Macaca mulatta: one gene and its partners. The protein of the gene in region 5 interacts with the protein of the main gene of each other region in a biochemical or structural test. Links are inferred from orthologs where the notes say so. Each region holds a gene or a part of one and is shown on either strand. Other genes may lie near its edges.

The links.
Region 1: the proteins of ESR1 (region 5) and TRIM24 form a complex in vitro, tested with the Homo sapiens proteins (4 studies listed by BioGRID). The link is inferred for Macaca mulatta from reciprocal best matches to the Homo sapiens genes ESR1 and TRIM24.
Region 2: the proteins of ESR1 (region 5) and SRC form a complex in vitro, tested with the Homo sapiens proteins (3 studies listed by BioGRID). The link is inferred for Macaca mulatta from reciprocal best matches to the Homo sapiens genes ESR1 and SRC.
Region 3: the proteins of ESR1 (region 5) and RELA form a complex in vitro, tested with the Homo sapiens proteins (3 studies listed by BioGRID and IntAct). The link is inferred for Macaca mulatta from reciprocal best matches to the Homo sapiens genes ESR1 and RELA.
Region 4: the proteins of ESR1 (region 5) and NR0B2 form a complex in vitro, tested with the Homo sapiens proteins (2 studies listed by BioGRID). The link is inferred for Macaca mulatta from reciprocal best matches to the Homo sapiens genes ESR1 and NR0B2.
Region 6: the proteins of ESR1 (region 5) and EP300 form a complex in vitro, tested with the Homo sapiens proteins (10 studies listed by BioGRID, with this or other methods). The link is inferred for Macaca mulatta from reciprocal best matches to the Homo sapiens genes ESR1 and EP300.
Region 7: the proteins of ESR1 (region 5) and CEBPB form a complex in vitro, tested with the Homo sapiens proteins (2 studies listed by BioGRID and IntAct). The link is inferred for Macaca mulatta from reciprocal best matches to the Homo sapiens genes ESR1 and CEBPB.

Annotation. Positions count from the first base shown.
Region 1 is NC_133408.1:178,414,171-178,417,670, reverse strand, and holds part of TRIM24 (transcription intermediary factor 1-alpha), read right to left. Parts: intron 3,103-3,500; coding exon 2,934-3,102; intron 1,406-2,933; coding exon 1,077-1,405; intron 70-1,076; coding exon 1-69. UniProt on the Homo sapiens protein: Transcriptional coactivator that interacts with numerous nuclear receptors and coactivators and modulates the transcription of target genes.
Region 2 is NC_133415.1:90,224,013-90,228,128, forward strand, and holds the start of SRC (proto-oncogene tyrosine-protein kinase Src), read left to right. Parts: upstream 1-1,316; 5' UTR 1,317-1,393; intron 1,394-4,116. UniProt on the Homo sapiens protein: Non-receptor protein tyrosine kinase which is activated following engagement of many different classes of cellular receptors including immune response receptors, integrins and other adhesion receptors, receptor protein tyrosine kinases, G protein-coupled receptors as well as cytokine receptors.
Region 3 is NC_133419.1:8,727,016-8,731,079, forward strand, and holds the start of RELA (transcription factor p65), read left to right. Parts: upstream 1-1,264; 5' UTR 1,265-1,593; coding exon 1,594-1,655; exon of another isoform or gene 1,656-1,902; intron 1,903-2,127; exon of another isoform or gene 2,128-2,240; coding exon of another isoform or gene 2,241-2,247; exon of another isoform or gene 2,248-2,273; intron 2,274-2,720; exon of another isoform or gene 2,721-2,862; coding exon of another isoform or gene 2,863-2,889; intron 2,890-2,947; coding exon 2,948-3,131; intron 3,132-3,199; coding exon of another isoform or gene 3,200-3,232; coding exon 3,233-3,381; intron 3,382-4,064. UniProt on the Homo sapiens protein: NF-kappa-B is a pleiotropic transcription factor present in almost all cell types and is the endpoint of a series of signal transduction events that are initiated by a vast array of stimuli related to many biological processes such as inflammation, immunity, differentiation, cell growth, tumorigenesis and apoptosis.
Region 4 is NC_133406.1:214,067,984-214,071,967, forward strand, and holds NR0B2 (nuclear receptor subfamily 0 group B member 2), read left to right. Parts: upstream 1-1,184; 5' UTR 1,185-1,245; coding exon 1,246-1,777; intron 1,778-3,099; coding exon 3,100-3,341; 3' UTR 3,342-3,697; downstream 3,698-3,984. UniProt on the Homo sapiens protein: Transcriptional regulator that acts as a negative regulator of receptor-dependent signaling pathways. Specifically inhibits transactivation of the nuclear receptor with which it interacts.
Region 5 is NC_133409.1:70,539,329-70,542,828, forward strand, and holds part of ESR1 (estrogen receptor), read left to right. Parts: exon of another isoform or gene 1-97; intron 98-2,104; 5' UTR 2,105-2,174; coding exon 2,175-2,626; intron 2,627-3,500.
Region 6 is NC_133415.1:10,366,240-10,369,739, reverse strand, and holds part of EP300 (histone acetyltransferase p300), read left to right. Parts: intron 1-740; coding exon 741-850; intron 851-1,851; coding exon 1,852-1,989; intron 1,990-2,567; coding exon 2,568-3,005; intron 3,006-3,500. UniProt on the Homo sapiens protein: Functions as a histone acetyltransferase and regulates transcription via chromatin remodeling. Acetylates all four core histones in nucleosomes. Histone acetylation gives an epigenetic tag for transcriptional activation.
Region 7 is NC_133415.1:103,041,750-103,045,437, forward strand, and holds CEBPB (CCAAT/enhancer-binding protein beta), read left to right. Parts: upstream 1-1,347; 5' UTR 1,348-1,548; coding exon 1,549-2,583; 3' UTR 2,584-3,188; downstream 3,189-3,688. UniProt on the Homo sapiens protein: Important transcription factor regulating the expression of genes involved in immune and inflammatory responses. Also plays a significant role in adipogenesis, as well as in the gluconeogenic pathway, liver regeneration, and hematopoiesis.

The DNA of each region.
Region 1 (3,500 bases), on a different chromosome or scaffold from region 5:
GGAGCATCACAATCATATTCAACTTCTGGTTTAGATAAGTCTCGGCAGAAAGTACAAATCCACTCTCCACTGTAGGGGGACAATGTACTTTTGAATTTCTAATGCATCATTTCCTCTCTTCACTATTTCCCTTTCCCACCTCCTCCATGACATCTATGATACAGAATTGTTTATTTGGCATGAATTTTATCACTCAGCATTTACCACATACCACTAGGTATACTGTACCATGCTGAGAGGAAACAGCAGAAATATAATGCAAGGGCCTAACATCAAAATCTAGTTAAGAAGGTGTGAGATACATATATGAAAAAACAACAACAAAAAAAACCACCTAGACAAATTAACACATTAATCTAGGGCTCACATATCTAGGGCATAATTGAATTTTTTTCCTCCAAAGGATTCAGAAATCAGAAAAGCTCTTTGTACTGTTCTTGTTACTCTAAGTTTATAAAATTAAATTTTCAAAAGTATAGCCTTCCAAGAACTGAGAGATCAACCCAATGGCTCTTAACCATCTTGGTCAGGATGATGATCATCATCCCCATAGGGTTTGAGAATTTACTTGAAATACTTGTAAATGATACAGTTTGATGCCTGGAAAAAAGACATAATAAACTGGTAGCTGTTATGCCTAAGGACATTGTTCCTTATGGTGACACCTTGTGATAATTTAAAGGGCCTATTATTTATTTTCTTTTTATAATGACTAGGGAGAGGGTCTTGCTCTGTTGCCCAGTCTGGAGTGCAGTGGTGCAATCACAGCTTACTGCAGCCTTGACCTCTCAGGCTCAACCAATCCTCCCACCTTAGCCACCTGAGTGGCTGGGACTATAGGCATGCACTACCACACCTGGCTAATTTTTTAATTTGTAGAGACAGGGTCTCCCTGTGTTGCTCAGGCTGAATGATTAATTTCTTGAAAGAAGCACAAGGAATAAGCGGAAAGGTATGGGAAAACCTAGACTATTCACTGGGATTTTGGAGTATACATTTGTGCCAAGTAGAATTTCATTTAAGTAATCTTCAAAAGTTTAGAGTAAAAGAATGTGGGAAGGGAAGTACTATCTTACCTTGGAAAATTTGTCAATGTAGGCACGTGACAAGAAAGATGGAATACTTTGGGGCACTTTTCACAGCAGAGGAGTTCCCCTCCGTTTTGACAAACTGCACACCAGTCCTCATTGGGGTCATCCTCTTTCCTTGTCTCTCCAACATGAAGGGGTGACTTCTGGGAAGGATCCAGCCACTCAGACTTTCCATTTGAGGAATTCTCCTGGTGAAGTCCAGGTTGATCTCCTGTACTATCAGGGGCATCTGATCTTAGCACAGTCTCCTCAGAAGTAGAGCTCTGACTGCTATTTAAGAGCAGGGAGGTGAGTATGCTTCTTGGATAATTGGCCTGTAGTAGAAAAAATATATATTTAACTGGTGTTTAAAAAATTTTATCACTAATGCAATTCTGAGCTGTAGGACCACTCTCTAGTGAGCACCTGGCTGCTTCAAAGGAATCTTCATGAGAACAGTATATGTTTACTGCTAACTGGTATAGAAGACATGGACCTCTACTGAAAAATATCAAAATAGAGAAAACAAATCTGAGTCTGGGGATGGCTACAGAAATTCGAGAATGGGTTGGGTAGTGTGGAAGTCAGTCACATGACCTATATATACACCTCACTGGAGCTGTTCATTCAAATTATACCTAAGATACACAAATTGTAAGATGAATCTAAACTTTCTGTTGAAGCCCAGGATGGTAAAAATTTCAAATCTATAACAAGAACAGTCTCCTTCAAATGTTTTCAAAAACTTCAAGGTAATAAACGTAGATATAGTTAAAAGCACTCATTCCTTAGAAGTACTATTTTCAAACCTAGCTTTTTCTTCTGCCATCTACCTCCATATTTCTAAATAAAATGACTGTTAAAGATTGCAATACATCTATAATCCTTGCTAGTGAAGATCAGGAGATTAGGTTTTTACATCCTGACTCTCCAACCCTGTCCTTCCATTCAGACACACAAAACCACCATTCACCTCATCCCTTTAACTTAGTTTTTATTAAGCATTGCTTTTTTTAGTTGGTAGGTACCGGTGTAACTATTTATTGCCAGTATCTATTCCAACTGACTAGTATTTGTCTGTACTGGTTAAGTATTCTGAAAATCACAATTTTTGGTTAAATGCATACATATTTAGTTTATATCCTGATTGCGTCACAGTTTTTCGTTACATTTGTACTCAGGTGTTTCTTTATATCATTATTATGTAAATATTGTTCACTGTAGACCCACAAAATGTACTATGACATTTCTTTTTGTACAACTTTTTGTTTTTACTAAGACTCTGTAATTACCTTATTTTTTCAGGTACCTATTTCTATGTGATTCTCACAATCTCCAGCAGGAGATTCTCAATACTGTTGAAGCATTTTTCTCCCTTTGGAGTCCTATGTCTTCCTGCTAGAGACTACTGCACAAGCTGCTGCTGCTGTACTGTGGGTTGCCTTTTTCTTCTGTGTCAGATTCCATTTTTGGAATCCTGTATCTTCTTCTTTCTTGTTTTACTATATTTTTGATGATACATATTATCAAATATCTTCCTGAGAATAAGTACTTAAGAATTATTTTGAGAACTTGCACAAAAATGTTTAATCTTCATGTCTGATAATTTGCCTGGGTATAAAACTCTGGTTAGAGAATATCTCTTTTTAGCTGCCCAGTCTCCATATTTGAGCCTCTGATTTTTTAAAACTTTCCTGTTTTTCCATCTTTGACTTTTTGTTTAATTTACTGAGAGATTCCCTCAAATTGTCTTTAAATCCCTTTAAATATAACATTAAAGAAAAAACTCCTAAGAGCTATTTAAGAGTTTCTCTCACCCTACCCACCATGCATAGGAATAATATTGCAAGTATTCATAATTACATTTTGAGGCCTAGATTCTTCATCTGACTCTTGCTTCACTATAACAACAGGGAAATCATAATTTTCTGGTGGTCCACTGTTTTCTTGTTTTATTCGAATTGGCTCCAACATGACCACTGGGACTTTGTGTGTAGAGTCAGCTCCTGCTGGTTTGCTGGAAGAGCCAGAGCTGTAAGTATGAGAGAGAAGAAAAAGCAATCTAAGAATGTGAAGCTGAATACCTCATAAAAAGTATAACAACAACTTTCTAAAATAATACTGTATCCTCACAACAGTAAGTATGTTACATCGGCAATTAATGATGCCTAACGAAACTGCTATATGCAAGTTTCATTTATGATAAAAATGTTTTACATATTAACCTATCTAAATAGTTATATATCTGGAAAGATGTTTCAATAAACCGAAACTTTTAAAAACCTGAGGCTTTACAATTAGGCAACCAGATTTAGTATCTTAGAACTGGCATCTGATTTTAGACTTTCTCATTTCCTTCTCCAGTCAGTAGCAAAGTAATACTTTGGTGAAGACAATGAAATAATCATTTATTTAAACAATGCTATTTAA
Region 2 (4,116 bases), on a different chromosome or scaffold from region 5:
GGGTCCCCTTAACCATGATGCCCCCACCTGGCTTGGGCAGGTGCCTGACAAGCCCTTCTGCTCTCCCGTCAGAGAGAGGATGGCTGCCAAAGGGCCAAGTCCCTGCCCGCCGCCTTCCCCCTTCATCCCCGCACAGGCCTGACACTACACCCACTGCTGCTCTTCCCTGGCCCGCCTCCCACCTTTCCCCCGCCACTGGGGCACTGTTATCAGGAGGCATTCCAGGACTGGCTGAGAACAGCTTCCACCCTGGGCCCTTCTGAGCGGATGTGATCACTGATAGGATGCCCTGCTGGGGCCTCCTTTAAGGAATGGGCTCTGGGGTACGAGACGGTGGAACCCAGATAGTCTGGGTTTGCCTCCCAGTGCTGTGTCTTATGAGCTGTGTGACATCAGGCAAGCAGCTCCACCTCTCTGTGCTTCAGTTTCCTCATCTGCAAATCAGGGCCCGCCACAGAGGGCTGGGGTGGTTCACTGAGTTCCTAAGCATGGTGCGCGCCACCCAGCAACACCGTGATGGTGACGCTGTAGCTGTTGTTATCCTCTGAGGATCAACCATCCCTCCTCCTTGTGGGGCCCCTGGTTTATTTGGCCTCTGTGTCCACCCCCTGATGAGGGCATGGCCGGAGGACCCCTCTGGACTTTCTCTTCTCCAGGTCTAGAGGACAAGGAGAGGGTGAAGCTGAGAGAGGCTATGTTCAGAAATTGGGAACCTGCTGTGTGATCTTGGATGGCCCCTCTCCCTTTCTGAGCCTCCATTTCCCGGCCTGCTCTATGAGCCTGTGGACCTGGCCCCTCGTTATCCCTGTCACGATACTTTCTGTAGTTCCTCCCTCGGCCAGCCCAGCTACATGGCTTTTGACTGTCTTTCCCACTATGGCATCAGTAGGTGCTCAGCTAAGCCTTGTTGGAGGAGCCTGGCAGTGCACCATTGAGTGACTGTCCAGGGCTTTCCCACTCCTGGCCTTTTGCTTGTGTGGCCCCCTTTGCCAAGAATGTGGCCCCCATTCATCTCTACTTGTGGAAATCCTTCTTGTCCTCGAAGCCCTTCGCAAATGCTGCCTCCCCCAGGAAGCCTTTCCCAGTTTCTCCCAGCCAGAGGGGATGCTGGTCCTTGGAACACTTGCTCTGAGGCTCTCTGGTGGTCCCTGTTACAGTGCACTGCAGTGTCCATAGTTACAGATGAATGGCAAACAGGGACTGTGCACTTACTAGGAGCCAGGCAGCGGGGGGGGGGCCCTGAGCTTGTGCTGTCTTATTTCATCTTCCACACCAGCCTTGCAAGGTGGATATTAATCCTATTATCCCTCCCTTTACAGAACAGAGAACAGAGGCTCAGAGAAGTGAAGCAACTTGGCCAGCTATGAGAGACAGAGCCAGGATTTGAAACCAGGTAAGTTTGTGTTTTTTCTTTAAAAAGGAAAGAAAAAACATCACACACACACACACACACACACACACACACACATACACACACACACGACAGGGAAAAGTAAGTCTCTCTCACACCCAGGTCTCCTTGCCAGAGTCAACCACTTGAAAAAATTTCTGGTGTATCCTTCCAGGGAGATCCAGGCATATATAAGCATGTATATTAACAATTTTTTTAGCATAATGTGAATTTCAATAATGATGGGAATGCCAGGTGTTGATATTTTTAGCTTCCGCACTTGACTCAATATTACACATTTGCAAAGAATTTTGTTTTTTTCTTAGGGTCTTACTCTGTTGCCCAGGCTGTAGTGCAGTGTCACAATCATGCTTACTGAGGCCTCGAACTCCTGGGCTCAAACGATCCTCCCACCTCAGCGTCCCAAGGAGCTGGGACTGCAGGGAAATGCACCACACCCAGCTAATTATTTATTTTTTTGTAGAAGCAGAGTCTCACTATGTTGCCTAGGCTGGTCTTGAATGTCTGGGCTCAAGCAGTCCTCCTGTCTTAGCCTCCCAAAGTACTGGGATTATAGGTGTGAGCCATCACCCCCAGCCGGAAATTTTTTTCTCTTTTTTAGATAAATGATAGCACACAGTCTACCCTGTCCTCAACTGACTTTTTTCTCTTGACAGTGTACCTCAGAGGTCATTTATTTGTGCTGCATTTTTCTTGTTCATGGTTGCGTAGTATTCCACTGCATGTACGGTGGTCACACTGTACTTAACTAAGGACAGATATTTTGGTTGTTTCCAGTCTTTTGCTTGTTCTAGGCAATTCCACAAATGAATATCCTCAATCATATGCCTTGTGTTTGTGTGTTCTTTTAGGATTAATTCCACACTGCAGGGTCAGTGGGTGTGTAATTGTGATAGGTATTGCCAAATTGTCCTTCAGAGAGATTGCGCTGGTGTCCCCACACCCTCTGTTCTCCTCACTCTCACCAGCATAGGATGTTACCAAATTTGGGGATAAATTGCATAAGTGCAATTTGCCGAGCTGATAGGTGAACAGTGGCCCCCAGTGTAGTTTATTTGAAAAATGTGTATCACAGCTTTACTGAGATAAAATTCACATAGCATACAATTTATCTATTTAAAGTATACAATTCGGTGGTTTTTAGTAGAGTCACAGAGTTGTACAATCGTCACCACAGTCAAATTTAGAACATTTTCATTACCCTACAAAGAAACTTTACCCATTACAGTTACTCCCCACTTCCCCCTAAACTTCCCTCCCCTAGACCTAGGCGGCAACTAATCTAGTTTCTGTTTCTATAGATTTGCCTATTCTGGGCATTTAATAGAAATGAAATCATTCAAGTGTACTCTTTTGCGGCTGACTTCTTTCACTTAGCATAATGTTTTCAAGATTCACTCATGTTGTAGCATGGATCAATATTTCATTCTTTTTTTCTTGCCAAATAATATTCTATCATATGGATATACCATATTTTATTTATCCATTCATCAGTTGATGGACATTTGGGCTTTCTGGCTATTACGGGTAATACTGTTCTGGACATTCATGTGCAAGTTTTTGTGTAGACATATGTTTTTCATTTCTCTTGAGTGTGTACCTACGAGTAGAATTGCTAGATCATATGGTAATTCCATGTTTAACTTTCTGAGGAACTGCCAGATTGTTTTGCAAAGCAGCTGCACCATTTTACATTCCCATCAGCAATGTCTGAGGGTTCCAGTTTCTCCACATCCTTGCCAACATTTGTCTTTTAGATTCTAGTCATCCGTCCTAGTGTCTGTGAAGTGGCATCTCATGGTGGTTCTGATTTTTTTTTTTTTTGGACAGGGTCTCAGTCTGTTGCCGAGGCTCACTGCAGCCTCAAACTCTTGGGCTCTAACAATCCTCTCATCTCAGCCTCCTGAGCAGCTGGGACCAAAAGTGTGTGCCACCACACCTGGCTCAGGCCCTTTTTTTTTTTTTTTTAGTTTGTAGAGATAGGGTCTCACCGTGTTGCCCAGGCTAGTCTTGAACTCCTGGGCTCAAATGATCCTCGCACCTCGGCCTCCCAAAGTGCTGGGTTTACAGGCATGTGCCACTGTACTCAGCCGTTTTGATTTTTATTTCCCTAATTACTAGTGACATTAAGCATCTTTTCATGTGCTTATTGGCCACTTGTATATCTTCTTTGGAGGAATGTCTATTCAAGTTCTTTGCCTACTTTTATTATTAATGTAATCTATTTTTTTTTTGTCTTAGCAACAAGGTCTCACTATGTTGCCCAGGCTAGTCTAGAAGTCCTGGCCTCAAGTGATCCCCCTGCCTCAGCCTTCCAAGTAGCTAGGACTATAAGCGTGTGCCACCATGCCTGGCTTAATTTTTTTTTAATTTTGTAGAGATAGGATCTTACTCTGCCACTCAGGCTGGAGTGCAATGGTGTGATCATAGCTGACTGTAACCTCAAATTCCTGGGCTCAAGCAATCCTCCCATCTCAGCCTCCTGAGTAGATAGGACCACAGGCATGCAACACCACGCCCGGCTAATTTTTTTTTTTAATTTTTAGTAGGGGTCTCACTATGTTTCCGAGGCTGGTCTCAAGCTCCTGGCCTCAAGAGATCCTCCTGTCTTGGCTTCCAAAGCACTGGGATTACATGCATGAGCCACTGTAAGAGATATTTATATATTGTAGATACAAGTATATGATTTACAAATATTTTCTCCT
Region 3 (4,064 bases), on a different chromosome or scaffold from region 5:
GAGACCAGCCTGGCCAACATGGTAGAACCCCGTCTCTACTAAAAAAATACAAAAATTAGCCAGGAGTGGTGGTTGGCCCCTTTAAATCCCAGCTACTTGGGAGGCTGAGGGAGGAGAATCACTTGAACCCGGGAGGTGGAGGTTGCAGTGAGCTGAATGCCACTGCACTCCAGCCTGGACGACAGAGCGAGACTTCATCTCAAAAAAAAAAAGTTCAAAACTAAGGAAAACCAAACAATATATTGTGTAGGCATGCAGATATGAGTAATTTTTTTTTTTTTAATACAGAATTCTGGCCCAGGCGTGGTGGCTCATGCCTGTAATTCCACTTTGGGAGGCTGAGGTGTGAGTATCGCTTGAGCCCAGGAGTTTGAGACCAGCCTGGGCAACACAGCAAGACCCATCTCTAGTTATAATTAATTAATTAATTTAAGAAAATACAGAATTCTGGCCCAGCGTGGTGACTCATTCCTGTAATCCCAGCACTTTGTGAGGCCAAGGTGGAAGGAAAGTTGAGCTCAGGAGTTCAAGGACAGCCTAGACAACAAGGTTAAACCACTTCTCTACAAAAAAATACAAAAACTTAGCCAGGCATGGTGGTGTGCTCCCATAGTCCCAGCTATGCAGGAGGCTGAAGTGGGAGGATTGCTTGATCCTAGGTGGTAGAGGCTGCAGTGAGCCAAGACTGTGCCACTACACTCCAGCCTGGGCGACAGAGCGCGAGCCTGTCTCAAAAAATAAATACATACAATACAATACAATACAACGCAGAATTCTGCACGGTGGTGGTCCCTTAAGTTTTGCAATGGGTACACGGGTGTTTATGGTATTAATTTAAAAGTTATAAATATACATGAATTTTAAGAAGAGGATCCATGCAAGGTTTAATGATAATTGTATGTCATCCATTCGCTCAACTGAAGTCGGCCTTCCCCGCCCCCTGCCAAAAGTAAACACTTTTCTAATCAGGGCCAGCCACTGGAGAAACTGAAATGAGTGGGCGGGGTGCTAACTCTATTTTCACTTTTCTCTTCCTGTTTCTTCAGAGCCTGGGAAACAAGTCAGAATTTCCAGTCTTTTCCAATTCCCACATGATTTCCTAATTCAAGACGAATTCAGAGAAAATAAGTCTTTCTCCATCTGGAGAAGACTCCGCCCCCTGGAGCATCCTCCTTCGGGGATGAGGCCTGAGGTGGGGCTGCGCCAGCCCCAGCCCCCACAAGGACGCGCCTTGGGCTTGGTCTTGGGGGAGCTACCCGCACTGTGGGGTCACATGACAGAATTAGTGGTCAGCCCTAGCTGGAGGTCCAGGGCAAACACAGGCGGGGGCAGTGGGGTTGGGGGTTGTGGCCCTGCTGATTCGAGTGTCCCCTGTGGGTTCCGGACCTTCTGAGATACAAGCGCCAGGCTTCAGAGACGAAGCTCCGGGGTTTACCCCTGGGGACCCCCTGCTCCTGCAGCCGCTGAGGGCCGGCAGTTTGGCTGCATAGTAAGCTGGCGCTTTAGCTGGAGAGGGACGAGCTCTCGGCCAGCTCGCCAGCGGGAGGGCCTCAAGTTGTCCCATCCGGGCTGCAGGCTCCGCAAAGCTCCCTGATGCACTGTCAGAGGGGGAGGTCCGGCCGCTCCCCTTCCCCTACAGCCGCATCTAGAGTGGGGTAGGTTGGACATTTTAACGTGCTTCTGAGACAGTCACCACCGAAAGGCACCTTTAGCGATGAGGAAACCGGCGTGGAGTTCAACCACCCGGCCTCTGCGGAGCAGAAGGCCCGACTGGGCCTTTCCCTGCGCGGGGCGGGCGGCCGCAGCCCCGTAGCCCGGGCTTTGCTCCAGACCCGGCCCAGAGTGACATCACCAAACTCCGCCGATCGGTGGGAGGGGGCCCTGAAATCCCCTAAAAACAAAGTGAGTAATCGGCGGACCCGCCCTCCAGGCGGGGCCGGGACCCGGGAGCTAGCCGAACCACCGGGCACACCAGCCTCTTCGTCTCCGGCGACGCGCGCACTTGGCCCCGGCCCCCGGCAGCGGCTGTGCGCGCGGCCTCTTCGTCCTCCGCGCGGCGCGCACTTGCTCCCGGCCCCTTCGCCGGGCGGCGGCGGGGCAGCGCGCAGGCGCGGCCGGATTCCGGGCAGTGACGCGACGGCGGGCGCGCGCGGCGCATTTCCGCCTCTGGCGAATGGCTCGGCTGTAGTGCACGCCGCGGGCCCAGCTGCGACCCCGGCCCCGCCCCCGGGACCCCGGCCATGGACGGTGAGGTCGCCCTCTGACCCCGCGGGGTGGCCGCGCCGGGACCGCCCCGGCTGTGGCGGGAGGCCCCGCGCCGCTTTCCGCCCCTTCCTGCGCCGACTGGCGCTGCGCAGGGAGCGGTCGGCCTGCCGGATGGTGGCGCGGGGCGGGGCAGGCGGGGAGGGGTCTGACTCAGTTTCCCCTCTGGGTGGAGGGGGGCCCTTGACTCAGCATCCTCCCTGGGTGGGGGAGCAGAGGGAGCCTTGACTCAGTTTCCCTCCACACCGTCCATGGGGGCAGCTCTGGCTTCGTTTCCCTATTAGGGGAGAACGCATCTGATTCAGTTTCCTCTCTGGATGGAGGTGGGGCGTGCCCTCCCTCAGTTTTCCTTATGAAAGTACAACAGGCCCTGATTCGGCTTCCCTCGGGAGAAGGATTCCTTACCCCGTTTTCCCTCAAGAAGCAGGTGTTTCTGGTTCCTTTCCTCCACTCCTTAGTTTCACCGCAGGTTCTAGGAAGCAGGTCCTTACTCAGTTCCCCTGGGAGGGAGCCTGGCTTCTCTTCTCTGTGGAGAGCAGATACTCCCTTGTGAGGATGGGCAGTGGGTGTGTGCTGACCCTGATCTCCCTCCCCTTTCAGAACTGTTCCCCCTCATCTTCCCGGCAGGTAAGTGGCCCCCGCAGCAGTCCGGGAGGTGTTCCCTGGGGTAGGGCAGCGGGGGCAGCTGTCTAATGGGCCTGCGGTGTCCCCTGGCAGAGCCAGCCCAGGCCTCTGGCCCTTATGTGGAGATCATTGAGCAGCCCAAGCAGCGGGGCATGCGCTTCCGCTACAAGTGCGAGGGGCGCTCCGCGGGCAGCATCCCAGGCGAGAGGAGCACAGATACCACCAAGACCCACCCCACCATCAAGGTCAGCACTGCACCAGGGTGTGCGGGGAAGGGACTGTGGAACCCCAGCCCTCTGTGTTTGGGAGTCAGGTTTGGATGTCTGGGCCTCTGTACTTTGGACAGATCAATGGCTACACAGGACCAGGGACAGTACGCATCTCCCTAGTCACCAAGGACCCTCCTCACCGGCCTCACCCCCACGAGCTTGTAGGAAAGGACTGCCGGGATGGCTTCTATGAGGCTGAGCTCTGCCCGGACCGCTGCATCCACAGGTGAGCTCCCTGCAGGCTAGGAGGCCCAGCATGAGGGAACAGGAGGCGGGCTATGAAGTAGCCGCTACAGTGTTACTCCTTTCTGGACACAGGGCAGAGTTGCTTACTTCTTGCTCTGACTCAGCTCTGCAAGTAAACTCTCTTTGTCTTGAAATGATCTATTTGTACCTCTACTCTAGCACAGATAAGAGCTCCAAGGGATATGGATGGGTCCCTAATCACTTCTGAATCCCTGACCCCTGTAGCTGGAAGGACAAGTCCCTTGGAGTCATGTCTCTTGTTTGAGAAAGAAAACCACTGAACCAACACTCTCCCCTGGAGGTGACATTGCAGTTGACAGAAACAGGCCTTAAAAAAATATACAGGCCAGGCATAGTGGCTCATGCTTATAATTCTAGCACTTCCGGAGGCCAAGGCAGGAAGATCTCTTGAGCCTGGGAGTTCAAGACTAACCAAGGCAACATAGTGAGACCCTATCTCTACAAAAAAATAAGAAATTAGCTGGGTATGGTGACTTGTGCCTATAGTCCCAGCTACTTGGGAGGCTGATGTGGGAGGATCACCTGAGCCCAGGAGGTCACCGCTATGGCAAGCTATGATTACACCACGACACTTGGGTAGCAGAGCGACACCTTGTCGTGTTTTTTTTTTTTTTTTGAGACGGAGTCTTGCTCTGTCCCCAG
Region 4 (3,984 bases), on a different chromosome or scaffold from region 5:
AGGGTAGCTGGGACTACAGGCACATGCCACCATGCCCGGCTAATTTTTGTATTTTTAGTAGAGACAGGATTTTGCCATGTTGGCCAGGCTGGTCTTGAACTCCTGACCTCAAATGATCCCCCTTCCTCGGCCTCCCAAAGTGCTGGGATTACAGGCATGAGCCACCATGCCCAGCTGGCAACTATCTTTTATTATAACTCTGTGAGTTCTTCTCAGCAGAACTGGACTTTCAGGAGTGGTAGGAATCAGGCAGGGAAAGGCCGGGCGCGGTGGCTCAAGCCTGTAATCCCAGCACTTTGGGAGGCCGAGACGGGCGGATCACGAGGTCAGGAGATCGAGACCATCCTGGCTAACACGGTGAAACCCCGTCTCTACTAAAAAAAAGTACAAAAACTAGCCGGGCGAGGTGGCGGGCGCCTGTAGTCCCAGCTACTCGGGAGGCTGAGGCAGGAGAATGGCGTAAACCCGGGAGGTGGAGCTTGCAGTGAGCTGAGATCCGGCCACTGCACTCCAGCCTGGGCGACAGAGCAGACTCCGTCTCAAAAAAAAAAAAAAAAAAAAAAAGGAATCAGGCAGGGGATAGGGATTCTGAAGGACCTTATTCCTGCAGGGGGCCCAGAACTGAAACCAGAGGAAGGGGGCCTCCGAGACTGGACAGCGGGCAAAGTCCTCCCAGCCCCCCCAGGGTCCTGGCTCCCTTCCCTGTAGCCTGCTCCTGGCCGACAACAGAAGCAGGGCCCCAAGGTTAGGCAAACAAGCTAGTGATAAGGCACTTCCAGGTCGGGCCTTGCATTCAAGGCCCACCCAGCTCTGGGGCTGACTTCCTGGCTTAGCGAAAGCGCTAGTCTTTTGTGCACACAAGAGCAGGCACCAATGGGGACACCTGCTGATTGTGCACCTGGGGCCTTGGTGCCCTGGTACAACCTGGGTTAATGACCTTGTTTATCCACTTGAGTCATCCGATAAGGGGCAGCTGAGTGAGCGGCAGGTGGCCCTGTGCCCTGCACCGGCCACTTCATTGACTGAAGTGATATCAGTGCCACGTGGGGTTCCCAATGCCCCCTCCCCCACCACTTCCCCACCATTCCTGCCAGGGGCAGTGTCTGTGTGTTTTTTTCAATGAACATGACTTCTGGAGTCAAGGTTGTCGGGCCATTCCCCCCCTTCCACTCACTGGGAATATAAATAGCACCCACGGCGCAGAACAGAGGGCCAGAGAGCTGGAAGTAAGGGCAGATCCCAACCATGAGCACCAGCCAACCAGGGGCCTGCCCATGCCAGGGAGCTGCAAGCCGCCCAGCCATTCTCTACGCACTTCTGAGCTCCAGCCTCAGGGCTGTCCCCCGACCCCGTAGCCGCTGCCTATGTAGGCAGCACCGGCCCGTCCAGCTATGTGCACCTCATCGCACCTGCCGGGAGGCCTTGGATGTTCTGGCCAAGACAGTGGCCTTCCTCAGGAACCTGCCATCCTTCTGGCAGCTGCCTCCCCAGGACCAGCGGCGGCTGCTGCAGGGTTGCTGGGGCCCCCTCTTCCTGCTTGGGTTGGCCCAAGATGCTGTGACCTTTGAAGTGGCTGAGGCCCCGGTGCCCAGCATACTCAAGAAGATTCTACTGGAGGAGCCCAGCAGCAGTGGAGGCAGTGGCCAGCCGCCAGACAGACCCCAGCCCTCCCTGGCTGCAGTGCAGTGGCTTCAGTGCTGTCTGGAGTCCTTCTGGGGCCTGGAGCTGAGCCCCAAGGAATATGCCTGCCTGAAAGGGACCATCCTCTTCAACCCTGGTGAGCTCCCAGACACTCCTGGGTAGGGGGCAAGGCTGAAGCAGGAGCCAGCCAGGGAAGGTAACTTCTAAGGGTTTGATATCTGTAATCTCATGGGGTCCACATTTTCTTTTTTTTTTTTTTTCTGAGACAGAGTCTCACTCTGTCACCTACTCTGGAGCGCAATGGCGCGATCTTGGCTCACTGCAACCTCTGCCTCCTGGGTTCAAGCAATTTTCCCTGCCTCAGCCTCCCAAGTAGCTGGGATTACAGGTGCCCGCCACCACTCCCGGCTAATTTTTGTATTTTTTAGTAGAGACGGGGTTTCGCCATGTTGGTCAAGCTGGTCTTGAACTCCTGATCCCTCTGGTGATCCACCCACCTTGGCCTCCCAAAGTGCTGGATTACAGGCGTGAGCCACTGTGCTTGGCCGGTTCCTCATTTTCATCAAATAGCCATCTCACAGAAGAGGTACAGAGAAGCTAAGTGACGAGCTAAAGGTAACACAGCCAGGTAGGGACAGACCAGGATGGCAACTCAGGTCTATTCACTCCAGAGACTGGCCCTTGCCACTCTGCCTGAGAAATTTGCTCTGACCTTTAGAGAAGGCTGCGGGGGAGGTGGGGTGGGCAGACACAGCTGTGTCTCAGTCACATCTTCAAAGGAAGGCTGCATGGTGAAGCTCTAGAGCTGAAACTCCTCTGTGGGTTCAGAAAGATCACTTAGAAGAGAGAACTGAAAGGGGTGTAGGGAGGACAGGAAGGGAGTCTTTGTGGAATTTGGCCAGGAGAGTGGCAGATGAGACAGTGCTCTTTGTAATCTGGAGAGCATCTGAGATGAGCGTTCCCCAGGAGTCCCTGTGGCACGCATAAATCGTAGTAGTTAATTGCAATAATAGTAGCAAATACTCATATCACACTTACCATATGTTAGGCCCTATTCTAAGGGTTTTACATATACTAGTTCATTTAAATCTCATAAAAACCTAGGAGACAGGTCCTATTAATATTATTATCCTCGTTTTACAAATAAAGAAACTGAAGCCCAGAGATTAAGTTACTTGCCCAAGGTCACCCAGCTAAGTGACAGTACTGGGATTCATACTCAGGAAACCTGATTCTTAACCATTACTCCATACTGCCTCTTCATAAATGGATGGATGAATACAATGGAAATTGATAAATAAATTACCTCCTCCAAAGGAGGAGGTAGTAGTGGGACCTCAAAGGCCGAGCAAAGGAGGCAGAGGGGTGTCTCTGATGGCCCAGATCTTGGGCCAGTCTCTTCCTTTGGTGGCTGGGAGTAGGATGCTCACCAACCCTCTTCTCCCTCTCTGCCCACAGATGTGCCAGGCCTCCAAGCCGCCTCCCACATTGGGCACCTGCAGCAGGAGGCTCACTGGGCGCTGTGTGAAGTCCTGGAGCCCTGGTGCCCAGCAGCCCAAGGCCGCCTGGCCCGTGTCCTCCTCACAGCCTCCACCCTCAAGTCCATTCCGACCAGCCTGCTTGGGGACCTCTTTTTTCGCCCTATCATTGGAGATGTTGACATCGCTGGCCTTCTTGGGGACATGCTCTTGCTGAGGTGACCAGCTGCAGCCCAGGCAGAGATCAGGTGGGCAGAGGCTGGCAGTGCTGATTCAGCCTGGCCATCCCCAGAGGTGACCCAATGCTCCCGGAGGGGGCAAGGCTGTATAGACAGCACTTGGCTCCTTAGGAACAGCCCTTCACTCAGCCACACCCCACATTGGACTTCCTTGGTTTGGACACAGTGCTCCAGCTGCCTGGAAGGCTCTTGGTGGTCCCCACAGCCTCTGGGCCAAGACTCCTGTCCCTTGTTGGGATGGGAATGAAAGCTTAAGCTGCTCATTGGACCAGAAGTCCTACTGACTTTATACAGAACTGAATTAAGTTATTGATTTTTGTAATAAAAGGTATGAAACACTTGGAGCCTGATACTGTTGTTTGTGCATATAGAAGGGACTGTCTCACCTCCAGGGCCCACCCTGCTCCTATCAGAGGTAGCCCAAGGGAAAAAATCCACAGGGTTGCTGGAACTAATTTTCCAGGGAACAGTATCAGTTCACAATCCCATCACCTCATTGCCTTTATCCTCAGGGGAAGGAGGTTGCTCTCCTGTTCCCAAACCCTTCACTAACCACTCTCCTGGCTCCTACCCACTTCATGCGCCCTCTCACCACAGTTAAAGCCCAATCACAGCCAATCAGGAAG
Region 5 (3,500 bases):
CATGCGAGCACATTCCTTCCTTCCTTCTCACTGTCTCGGCCCTTGACTTCTACAAGCCCATGGAACATTTCTGGAAAGACGTTCTTGATCCAGCAGGGTAGGCTTGTTTTGATTTCTCTCTCTGTAGCTTTAGCATTTTGAGAAAGCAACTTACCTTTCTGGCTAGTGTCTGTATCCTAGCAGGGAGATGAGGATTGCTGTTCTCCATGGGGGTACGTGTGTGTCTCCTTTTTCTTTCATGACTTGTAGGATTCTTTGTGCCATTTGCATATAATTTGGCAGGTTCAGATTTTTTAAGAGCCCTATGAAGTGCTTTTTGCGTGTGTTTTAAAAAGGCATTTGAAAATTGAAAGTGTGATTTATGGAAACTAAATCATCTGTGAAAAATTGCTTTGGAAAGTAATGATTGCTGGCCATAAAGGGAAATATCTGTGATGTACCTAATGTGTTTTTAACCCTTTAGTTGCTGACAATCTATAGTCATTAATGCTAAACTCGATTTTGGCTTCATATTAAATCAGCTAATCTGTATATTGTCCGACAATGGTCTGTTTTTGTAGGAATTAGATAAAATGTATACTTGATATAAAATATTCAAAAATGTAACTATTAGTAACAGTAAGCTTGGCATTTAGATATACCATGAACACTTTGTCAGGTACTCTGTTGGGTGTTTGGGATAGCAATTAAAATAAAGTATTGATAGTTGTACCAGAGTCTATTAGGCTGCAGCAAAGGAAGTTTATTAAAAAGTATAAACTCTCCAAGATTATAGATGCATGACATACTTTCCGTATTTTTTGTGTCCTTAATATGTATATGTATGTGTGTGTGTGTGCGTATGTGTGTGTGCATGCTTAACTTTTAATTCAGTTAAAAACTTTTTTCTATTTGTTTTTCATCTGGATATTTGATTCTGCATATCCTAGCCCAAGTGAACCGAGAAGATCGAGTTGTAGGACTAAAGAATAGACATGCAGAAATGCATTTTAAAAATCTGTTAGCTGAACCAGACCGACAATGTCACATAATTGCCAAAGCTTTGGTTTATGACCTGAGGTTATGTTGGGTATGAAAAGGTCACATTTTATATTCAGTTTTCTGAAGTTTTGGTTGCATAACTAACCTGTGGAAGGCATGAACACCCATGTGCGCCCTAACCAAAGGTTTTTCTGAATCATCCTTCACATGAGAATTCCTAATGGGACCAAGTACAGTACTGTGGTCCAACATAAACACACAAGTCCAGCTGAGAGAATCTCAGAAGGTTGTGGAAGGGGTCCACTTTGGGAGCATTTTGCAGAGGAAGAAACTGAGGTCCTGGCAGTTTGCATTCTCCTGATGGCAAAATGCAGCTCTTCCTATATGTATACCCTGAATCTCCGCCCCCCTTCCCCTCAGATGCCCCCTGTCAGTTCCCCCAGCTGCTAAATATAGCTGTCTGTGGCTGGCTGCGTATGCAACCACACACCCCATTCTATCTGCCCTATCTCGGTTACAGTGTAGTCCTCCCCAGGGTCATCCTATGTACACACTACGTATTTCTAGCCAACGAGGAGGGGGAATCAAACAGAAAGAGAGATAAACAGAGATATATTGGAGTCTGGCACGGGGCACATAAGGCAGCACATTAGAGAAAGCCGGCCCCTGGATTCGTCTTTCGCGTTTATTTTAAGCCGGTTCTTCCCTGGGCCACCTTTAGCAGATCCTCGTGCGCCCCCGCCCCCTGGCCGTGAAACTCAGCCTCTATCCAGCAGCGACGACAAGTAAAGTAAAGTTCAGGGAAGCTGCTCTTTGGGATCGCTCCAAATCGAGTTGTGCCTGGAGTGATGTTTAAGCCAATGTCAGGGCAAGGCAACAGTCCCTGGCCTTCCTCCAGCACCTTTGTAATGCATATGAGCTCGGGAGACCAGTACTTAAAGTTGGAGGCCCGGGAGCCCGGGAGCTGGCGGAGGGCGTTCGTCCCGGGACTGCACTTGCTCCCGTCGGGTCGCCAGGCTTCACCGGACCCGCAGGCTCCCGGGTCAGGGCCGGGGCCAGAGCTCGCGTCTCGGCGGGACATGCGCTGCGTCGCCTCTAACCTCGGGCTGTGCTCTTTTTCCAGGTGGCCCGCCGGCTTCTGAGCCTTCTGCCCTGCGGGGACACGGTCTGCGCCCTGCCCACGGCCACGGACCATGACCATGACCCTCCACACCAAAGCATCCGGGATGGCCCTACTGCATCAGATCCAAGGGAACGAGCTGGAGCCCCTGAACCGTCCGCAGCTCAAGATCCCCCTGGAGCGGCCCCTGGGCGAGGTGTACGTGGACAGCAGCAAGCCCGCCGTGTACAACTACCCCGAGGGCGCCGCCTACGAGTTCAACGCCGCGGCCGCCGCCAACGCGCAGGTCTACGGCCAGACTGGCCTCCCGTACGGCCCCGGGTCTGAGGCTGCGGCGTTCGGCTCCAACGGCCTGGGGGGTTTCCCCCCACTCAACAGCGTGTCTCCGAGCCCGCTGATGCTGCTGCACCCGCCGCCGCAGCTGTCGCCTTTCCTGCAGCCCCACGGCCAGCAGGTGCCCTACTACCTGGAGAACGAGCCCAGCGGCTACACGGTGCGCGAGGCCGGCCCTCCGGCATTCTACAGGTACCCGCGCCCGCGCCGCCCGTCGGGGTGGCCGCCGCGCCCGGCGAGAGGGAGGAAGGGAGGAAGGGAGGGAGGGAGAAGGGGGAGCCGAGGGAGCAGCGGGAGCCGCGGGACGCGCGACCCGAGGGTGCGCGCAGGGAGCTCGGTGCGCGCGGCCCAGCCCGGGGGTTCTGCGTGCAGCCCGCGTTGCGTTCAGAGTCAAGTTCTCTCGCCGGGCAGCTGAGAAAAACGTGCTCTCCACCCACTTAGGGTCCGTGCGACAGGCAGACCCGAAAGCCCGGGGCTTCCTAACTAAACACACGTTGGAAAACCAGACAAAGCAGCAGTTATTTGCGGGAGGAAACACCTCCAGGCAAATAAACACGAAGCGCTTTGAGTCACTCGAGAAGGTCCCGCTCTTGGCATTTAAAGTTGGGGGTGTTTGGAGTTAGCGGAGCTCGGCAGAATTTTATTTATCCTTTCAATGTTTTTGTTTAATGTGCTCCCCAAATTTCCTTTCATCTAGACTATTTGATTGGAAATATGTCGGCTATGATGATGACTTTCTGGGAAGCGATTCCTGTCACCCTCTTTCCCCTCCTCCCCACCCCACGTCCTGGGGCTTTAGAGAGCGATTGGGAGTTGAATGGGTCTGATTTCGGAGTTAGCTGGCTGAGTCCGCGCTGGAGCGGATTGCTGGCATGTGACTTCTGACAGCCGGAAATTTGTAGGTGTCCCGCGAGTTTAAAACAAGCCATATGGAAGCACGAGTGCTTAAAAATAATCTCCCGCCAGCCCAGTGGCGAGCCTGTCCCACCCGGGGAGAATGCCCCGGAGTGGCGTGCGGGTCCGCCGGGGTCTGCGCCTCGCAGCCACTGTGGAACGAGCGCGGCCG
Region 6 (3,500 bases), on a different chromosome or scaffold from region 5:
GTACCACCTGAGGTCAAGTATGAGACCATCCTGGCCAATGTGTCGAAACCCTGCCTTCTAGTAAAAATACAAAAATTAGCCAAGTGTGGTGGCACAGGCCTGTAATCCCATCTACTCGGGAGGCTGAGGCTGGAGAATCACTTAAACCCAGAAGGTGGAGTTTGCAGTGAAGCGAGATCTTGCTGCTGCACCCCAGCCTGGGTGACAGCGAGACTCCGTCTCAAAAAAAAAAAAAAAGCAGATTGTAAAATTTGTAAAATTCGGTTTGAAGATCCTGTTAATAATGTCTGTTTACAACTGCTGTGAGACATATTTATTTATACTTACAAGGTTGAAAGCCAGTTTATTAGTCCTGATAAAATACAGAATCAGGGCCGGGCACGGTGGCTCACACCTGTATCCCAGCACTTTGGGAGGCCTAAGCGGGCGGATCACGAGGTCAGGAGATCGAGACCATCCTGGCTAACACGATGAAACCCTGTCTCTACTAAAAATATAAAAAATTAGCCAGGCGTGGTGGTGGGCTCTTGTAGTCCCAGCTACTCGGGAGGCTGAGGCAGAAGAATGGCGTGAACCCGGGAGGCGTTCAGTGAGCCGAGATGACACCACTGCACTCCAGCCTGGGCAACAGAGCAAGACTCTGTTTCAAAAAAAGATGTAGAATCAGACATAAGAATTCTGTCTTTTATTCTTCAGTTTCAGAAAGGCGTTCAGATCTAATATTTTGCACATATTCACAGGTTTGAATCAATTTGGCCAGATGAGCATGGCCCAGCCCCCTATCGTACCCCGGCAAACCGCTCCTCTTCAACACCATGGACAGTTGGCTCAGCCTGGAGCGCTCAACCTGGTTAGTTTGACGTCTTTAGTAATCATTTTGGCCTTTATCTGGTATTTTGAAAATCCTGTTTGTTCCTAATTTATAAATGCTCACAGTTATTTAAACAGACCATAACTCCTAGTTCTTCTGTAATTCTTCTGTATTTAATTCTACTAGAAAGCTGACCAAAAAACGAAAACAGCCAGGCCCTTGTCCCTGGAGTGTCCATGTTTAGTGGCCTGCATGCGTTTTCATGGTCACCTCTCTTCCCTGATGTCTGTCTTCCCTTCTCCAGGCAGAGAACTGTCTTTTTGCAAGGTTGATGGTGCATTTGCCTGGTTCTTGAGCTCGGAGAAGAGAGGCTAGGCTTCTGCTCCTTATGTGAACTCTTAACCACTTCATCTCTCTACCTTGACCCCGACCCTCCTGCTGCCCTTTAGAGTTAGCTGGTGCCTCTGAATCTTGGCCCCTTTGGGGCCCCTTCTTGTCTTATGAAGTTTTTTGCCTTTGGAGATTTCTTTCTTTAAGGCCTGAATTTGTGTAGGGTAATTTTAGAAATGAAATATAGCATTGCTAGAGCATTTGTGGACCATGAATGCTACCAGATTCTGCCACAACTTGTAAGATTTTACTTGTTTTTACATATTATGGGTCTTAGAATTTGTGTTATTACTACATCACTGACATGAGCTTATGAAATTGTGATTAACTCTCCTCACTTAACAGAGCATGCAAAGAAAGTTACCTGCTATCCTTGTGCTAGACATATTTGTGTACCAAGAGAATGTGTGTTTGTTCCATCCTCTTACTATTTCTTGAGAGTAGACCTAGGTAAACTGTGAGGCTATTTCCCTTTTTCTGCACAAGAGTCAGTTGTTCTATAACTTTCTTCCTTCTCCTCTCCAGCCCTCTTCACCTATACTCCTGTCTTTGACTTTGCTTAATAAACCTGACATTAGGACCTTTTGATGATTTTAGTTATAGTAGAATAACTGTAATGAAGCAGTTTGGTGATCTGTGTTTTTTTGCAGCCTATGGGCTATGGGCCTCGTATGCAACAGCCTTCCAACCAGAGCCAGTTCCTTCCTCAGACTCAGTTCCCATCACAGGGAATGAATGTAACAAATATGCCTTTGGCTCCGTCCAGTGGTCAAGCTCCAGTGTCTCAAGTATGTCTCATAAGTGGATTTTTTACTTTTTTTTGATTCTTGAAATTTCTCTTGACGTAGGTTTTTATAGGAAAGAGTGGCAGCAGATAGTGGGTGAAAACAGATGATTTTTTTAAAAAATAACAGTTTTAGACTTAGGGTGTTCTGAACCTTAAGAGATTATTCTGTGACATAGCAATGGTGTTAATTGTTACAAATTAGGAAATAATATAAATGGATGGTTTTGTTTTTAGTAGTGAACACTTTTAAATAAATCTTAGAATTAAACACAATGTAGAAGGAATTCTGGCTGAAGAGAGCATAGGCAGGCCCTAGAGCACTGTGCTCTCAATTCTGTCGTTTTTCTGCAGTGGCTGAGGCCATTCGGCTGAGTGGTTTGAAGTCGGTTTACTTAAATACTGTATCAATGGTGCTGTCCAAAGCTATATCCCCAGTAACAGGGTATTTTACACATTTTGAAATAGACACATTGCTACTCTTTGTTTAACCAGTTTGTGTCCTAAATTCATATAACGTGCCATGTAAGTATTTCTTTAATTCTGTTTTGAATTGCTATCTTATGTTTTTTATTTTAACAGGCACAAATGTCTAGTTCTTCCTGCCCGGTGAACTCTCCTATAATGCCTCCGGGGTCTCAGGGGAGCCACATTCACTGTCCCCAGCTTCCTCAACCAGCTTTGCATCAGAATTCACCCTCGCCTGTACCTAGTCGTACCCCGACCCCTCACCATACTCCCCCAAGCATAGGGGCTCAGCAGCCACCAGCAACAACAATTCCAGCCCCTGTTCCTACACCTCCTGCCATGCCACCTGGACCACAGTCCCAGGCTCTACATCCCCCTCCAAGGCAGACACCTACACCACCAACAACACAACTTCCCCAACAAGTACAGCCTTCACTTCCTGCTGCACCTTCTGCTGACCAGCCCCAGCAGCAGCCTCGCTCACAGCAGAGCACAGCAGCGTCTGTTCCTACCCCAACAGCACCGCTGCTTGCTCCACAGCCTGCAACTCCAGTAAGTAGAGATTTGATTTAGGCAGAATCATTAGAGCTGTACTGTAGTATTATATTATTTCTGGGTCATTTCTATTACTCTCTTTTGCTTTATCTCTTACTGTTTTCTCCACAAGTAGAGTGTAATCTGTTTTTCATTAGGGACTTTCTTATCCTGTTTTGCATTCCTGTGATAGGACCTAACGTAGCAGGAGTGTAAAGATTTTATTTAGCTCTGACTTTGACCATTATGTTTCATGTTGTATCCTGAGGTCTGAAGGTACGTAGAGGGGTATGACAAGGGGACACAGTCCTTCTCTTTATTTAGTATATTATTTAGTGTAACACATAAATTTTACATATATTTAAAGAATCTTTTTCAAACAGTTTGAGCTTTAAAACTTAGAGATTAAATTGAAAAATTGCAGATTTGGGCAGGCGCGGTGGCTTATACCTTTCATCCCAGCACTTTGGGAGGCCTTGGCGGGCAGATCACTTGGGGTCAGGAGTTTGAGAC
Region 7 (3,688 bases), on a different chromosome or scaffold from region 5:
AGCCTAGGGAGCAGAGGCGGGCCGGTAGTTAGAGGGCCTTGGGTCTGTGTTCAAGTCCAGGCAGGCCGTTGTCACTTTCCCATCTGTGAAACGGCAGCAGCAAAAGCATCTTCCTGGTGGGGTGAAAAAGAACCTCGGGGTCCAGGCCCACCCTGAGCACAGGGCAGGGACTTGGTAAAAACTTCTCTTTCTCTTTCCTTCTCTGTTTCCTGCATGCCACCCCCCTCCCGTGAGGCCTGGCTTAAGCCCCTCCCCAGCAGCTTCAGAAACAGAAGCTTTTTGGCCTCTGGGGCTGGCAATAGGTCTTAGGGCCCAGATGAGGGCATTTCGTTTGGGATGAATGGGGGACATGCGGCCATGTGACCTTGGTATGCCATGCCATGCTCCCTCTGGGCCTCCACTGGCACAATCCATGGGGGTCCCTTTCTCTCTGATGTGCAGCCCACAACGTAAGCCTTAGGTTTGGGAGTCTGGTGGGAGCAATGCCACCACCGCTGACAGTAGCGACACCCTTCATGGACTGCAGCTGGGAGAAGTGACTCATCCAAGGTCGCACAGTGTGGCAGGGCCCAGGTCGGATGGCGCGGCGCGGGGCAAGAGAAGACCCGGGTGTGTACAAGCCGCAAGCAGGCGGCAGGTGCGGTGGGCGGGGCTAGGGGCGGGACACCGTGGACCAGGGTCCAGCCCCCAGCGCAGCGCGATCCTGCTCCGTCCCCCCGACCCCCGGGGTCCTCATATTGGCGGTGGCTTAAGAGGGGAATCGTCACAGGCGTGGAGTCTACTCCTTTCTAGAGCCGGGGACCTGTGGAAGAGGTGGGAGTTTAGGGGGAAGGGCTACGGAGATGGGTCGCTTCTCCTGGAGCTAGAGTTGCGGGCTGGGGTCTCCAGGGTTCCGCCCGGGGAGCGGCCCCTGGTCCGCCGTCGGGGCTCTGCTCGGTCCTCCTGAAACCTCCGCCTCCTCCAGCAGGGGGCGGGCCGGGGCCGCATCTCCGGGGGAAGGCGATCAGGTCGCCCCCTCCTCCGATTCCCCCGCCTTCCAGGACAGCCTCCAGCCCAGAGGGGCGGTCTGGGGGCGGGGTCGCACCGCCCCCTCTCGCTCCCAATCCCGGGGCGGCCGGGCGGGGGTGGGCAGGGGGCGTGAGGCCGCCCCCTGCGGCCCGGGGACCCCCCCCGAAAACGCGCTCCGGGTGCCCGGTCCCTCCGCTGCGCCCTGCCGCCGTCCTCCTGGGGGTCTCGGGCGGCCGCGGCCGTGTCCTTCGCGTCCCGGCGGCGCGGCGGGAGGGGCCGGTGTGACGCAGCGGTTGCTACGGGCCGCCCTTATAAATAACCGGGCTCAGGAGAAACTTTAGCGAGTCAGAGCCGCGCACGGGACTGGGAAGGGGACCCACCCGAGGGTTCAGCCACCAGCCCCCGCACTAATAGCGGCCACCCCGGCAGCGGCGGCAGCAGCAGCGACGCAGCGGCGACAGCTCAGAGCAGGGAGGCCGCGCCACCTGCGGGCCGGCCGGAGCGGGCAGCCCCAGGCCCCCTCCCCGGGCACCCGCGTTCATGCAACGCCTGGTGGCCTGGGACCCAGCATGTCTCCCCCTGCCGCCGCCGCCTGCCTTTAAATCCATGGAAGTGGCCAACTTCTACTACGAGGCGGACTGCTTGGCTGCTGCGTACGGCGGCAAGGCGGCCCCCGCGGCGCCCCCCGCGGCCAGACCCGGGCCGCGCCCCCCAGCCGGCGAGCTGGGCAGCATCGGCGACCACGAGCGCGCCATCGACTTCAGCCCGTACCTGGAGCCGCTGGGCGCGCCGCAGGCCCCGGCGCCCGCCACGGCCACGGACACCTTCGAGGCGGCTCCGCCCGCGCCCGCCCCCGCGCCCGCCTCCTCCGGGCAGCACCACGACTTCCTCTCCGACCTCTTCTCCGACGACTACGGGGGCAAGAACTGCAAGAAGCCGGCCGAGTACGGCTACGTGAGCCTGGGGCGCCTGGGGGCCGCCAAGGGCGCGCTGCACCCCGGCTGCTTCGCGCCCCTGCACCCGCCACCCCCGCCGCCGCCGCCGCCCGCCGAGCTCAAGGCGGAGCCGGGCTTCGAGCCCGCGGACTGCAAGCGGAAGGAGGAGGCCGGGGCGCCGGGCGGCGGCGCAGGCATGGCGGCGGGCTTCCCGTACGCGCTGCGCGCTTACCTCGGCTACCAGGCGGTGCCGAGCGGCAGCAGCGGGAGCCTCTCCACGTCCTCGTCGTCCAGCCCGCCCGGCACGCCGAGCCCCGCCGACGCCAAGGCGCCCCCGGCCGCCTGCTACGCGGGGGCCGCGCCGCCGCCCTCGCAGGTCAAGAGCAAGGCCAAGAAGACAGTGGACAAGCACAGCGACGAGTACAAGATCCGGCGCGAGCGCAACAACATCGCCGTGCGCAAGAGCCGCGACAAGGCCAAGATGCGCAACCTGGAGACGCAGCACAAGGTCCTGGAGCTCACGGCCGAGAACGAGCGGCTGCAGAAGAAGGTGGAGCAGCTGTCGCGCGAGCTCAGCACCCTGCGGAACTTGTTCAAGCAGCTGCCCGAGCCCCTGCTCGCCTCCTCCGGCCACTGCTAGCGCGGCCCCCGCGCGCGTCCCCCTGCCGGCCGGGGCCGAGACTCCGGGAAGCGCCCGCGCCCGCGCCCCCGCCTCCGCCCCCGGCGGCGCCGGCAAAACTTTGGCACTGGGGCACTTGGCAGCGCGGGGAGCCCGTCGGTAATTTTAATATTTTATTATATATATATATCTATATTTTTGTCCAAACCAACCGCACATGCAGATGGGGCGCCCGCCCGTGGTGTTATTTAAAGAAGAAACGTCTATGTGTACAGATGAATGATAAACTCTCTGCCTCTCCCTCTGCCCCTCTCCAGGCGCCGGCGGGCGGGCCGGTTTCGAAGTTGATGCAATCGGTTTAAACATGGCTGAACGCGTGTGTACACGGGACTGACGCAACCCACGTGTAACTGTCAGCCGGGCCCTGAGTAATCGCTTAAAGATGTTCCTACGGGCTTGTTGCTGTTGATGTTTTGTTTTGTTTTGTTTTTTGGTCTTTTTTTTTGTATTATAAAAAATAATCTATTTCTATGAGAAAAGAGGCGTCTGTATATTTTGGGAATCTTCCGTTTCAAGCATTAAGTAAGAACACTTTTAATAAACTTTTTTTTGAGAATGGTTACAAAGCCTTTTGGGGGCAGTAATTGGCTTTTGTTTTTTTTTGCTTTATTTTGGATTTGTAGGATTTTGTTTTTGCGTTTCTGGTGTGTAGTGGGTTGTGTGTGGGGGGCTGCTGTTATTTTTGGAGGTTTTGGTGGTTGGTGGGGGTGTTGCAGCTGGTTTTTCTGCCTCCTCTGCTACACCCTCCCCCCACCCACAGGGTCTGCTTGGAGATGGGGTTCCAGCCCTGGGGGAAAGGGGAGAAGAGTAATGGGTCAGGCTTTCAGGCTAACTCAGAGCTCCTGGGCGCCGGGACCGGTGGCTGGGAACCCTGCTTGAGAAGAGATTCCGGGACCTCTGACTGGTCCCGAGTGTCAGGCTTGGGTTTGGAAGGGCTGGGAGGTCTGTGACCCCTGCCCTGTGTTTGGGGACTAGATAGGCAGGCCTGTGACTGTAGGAGGAGGGGTTCAGGTCTTGGTCCTGCTGAGCCCGAGTCAGGGCAGATGCTTTTAGTAAGTGTAGTTGG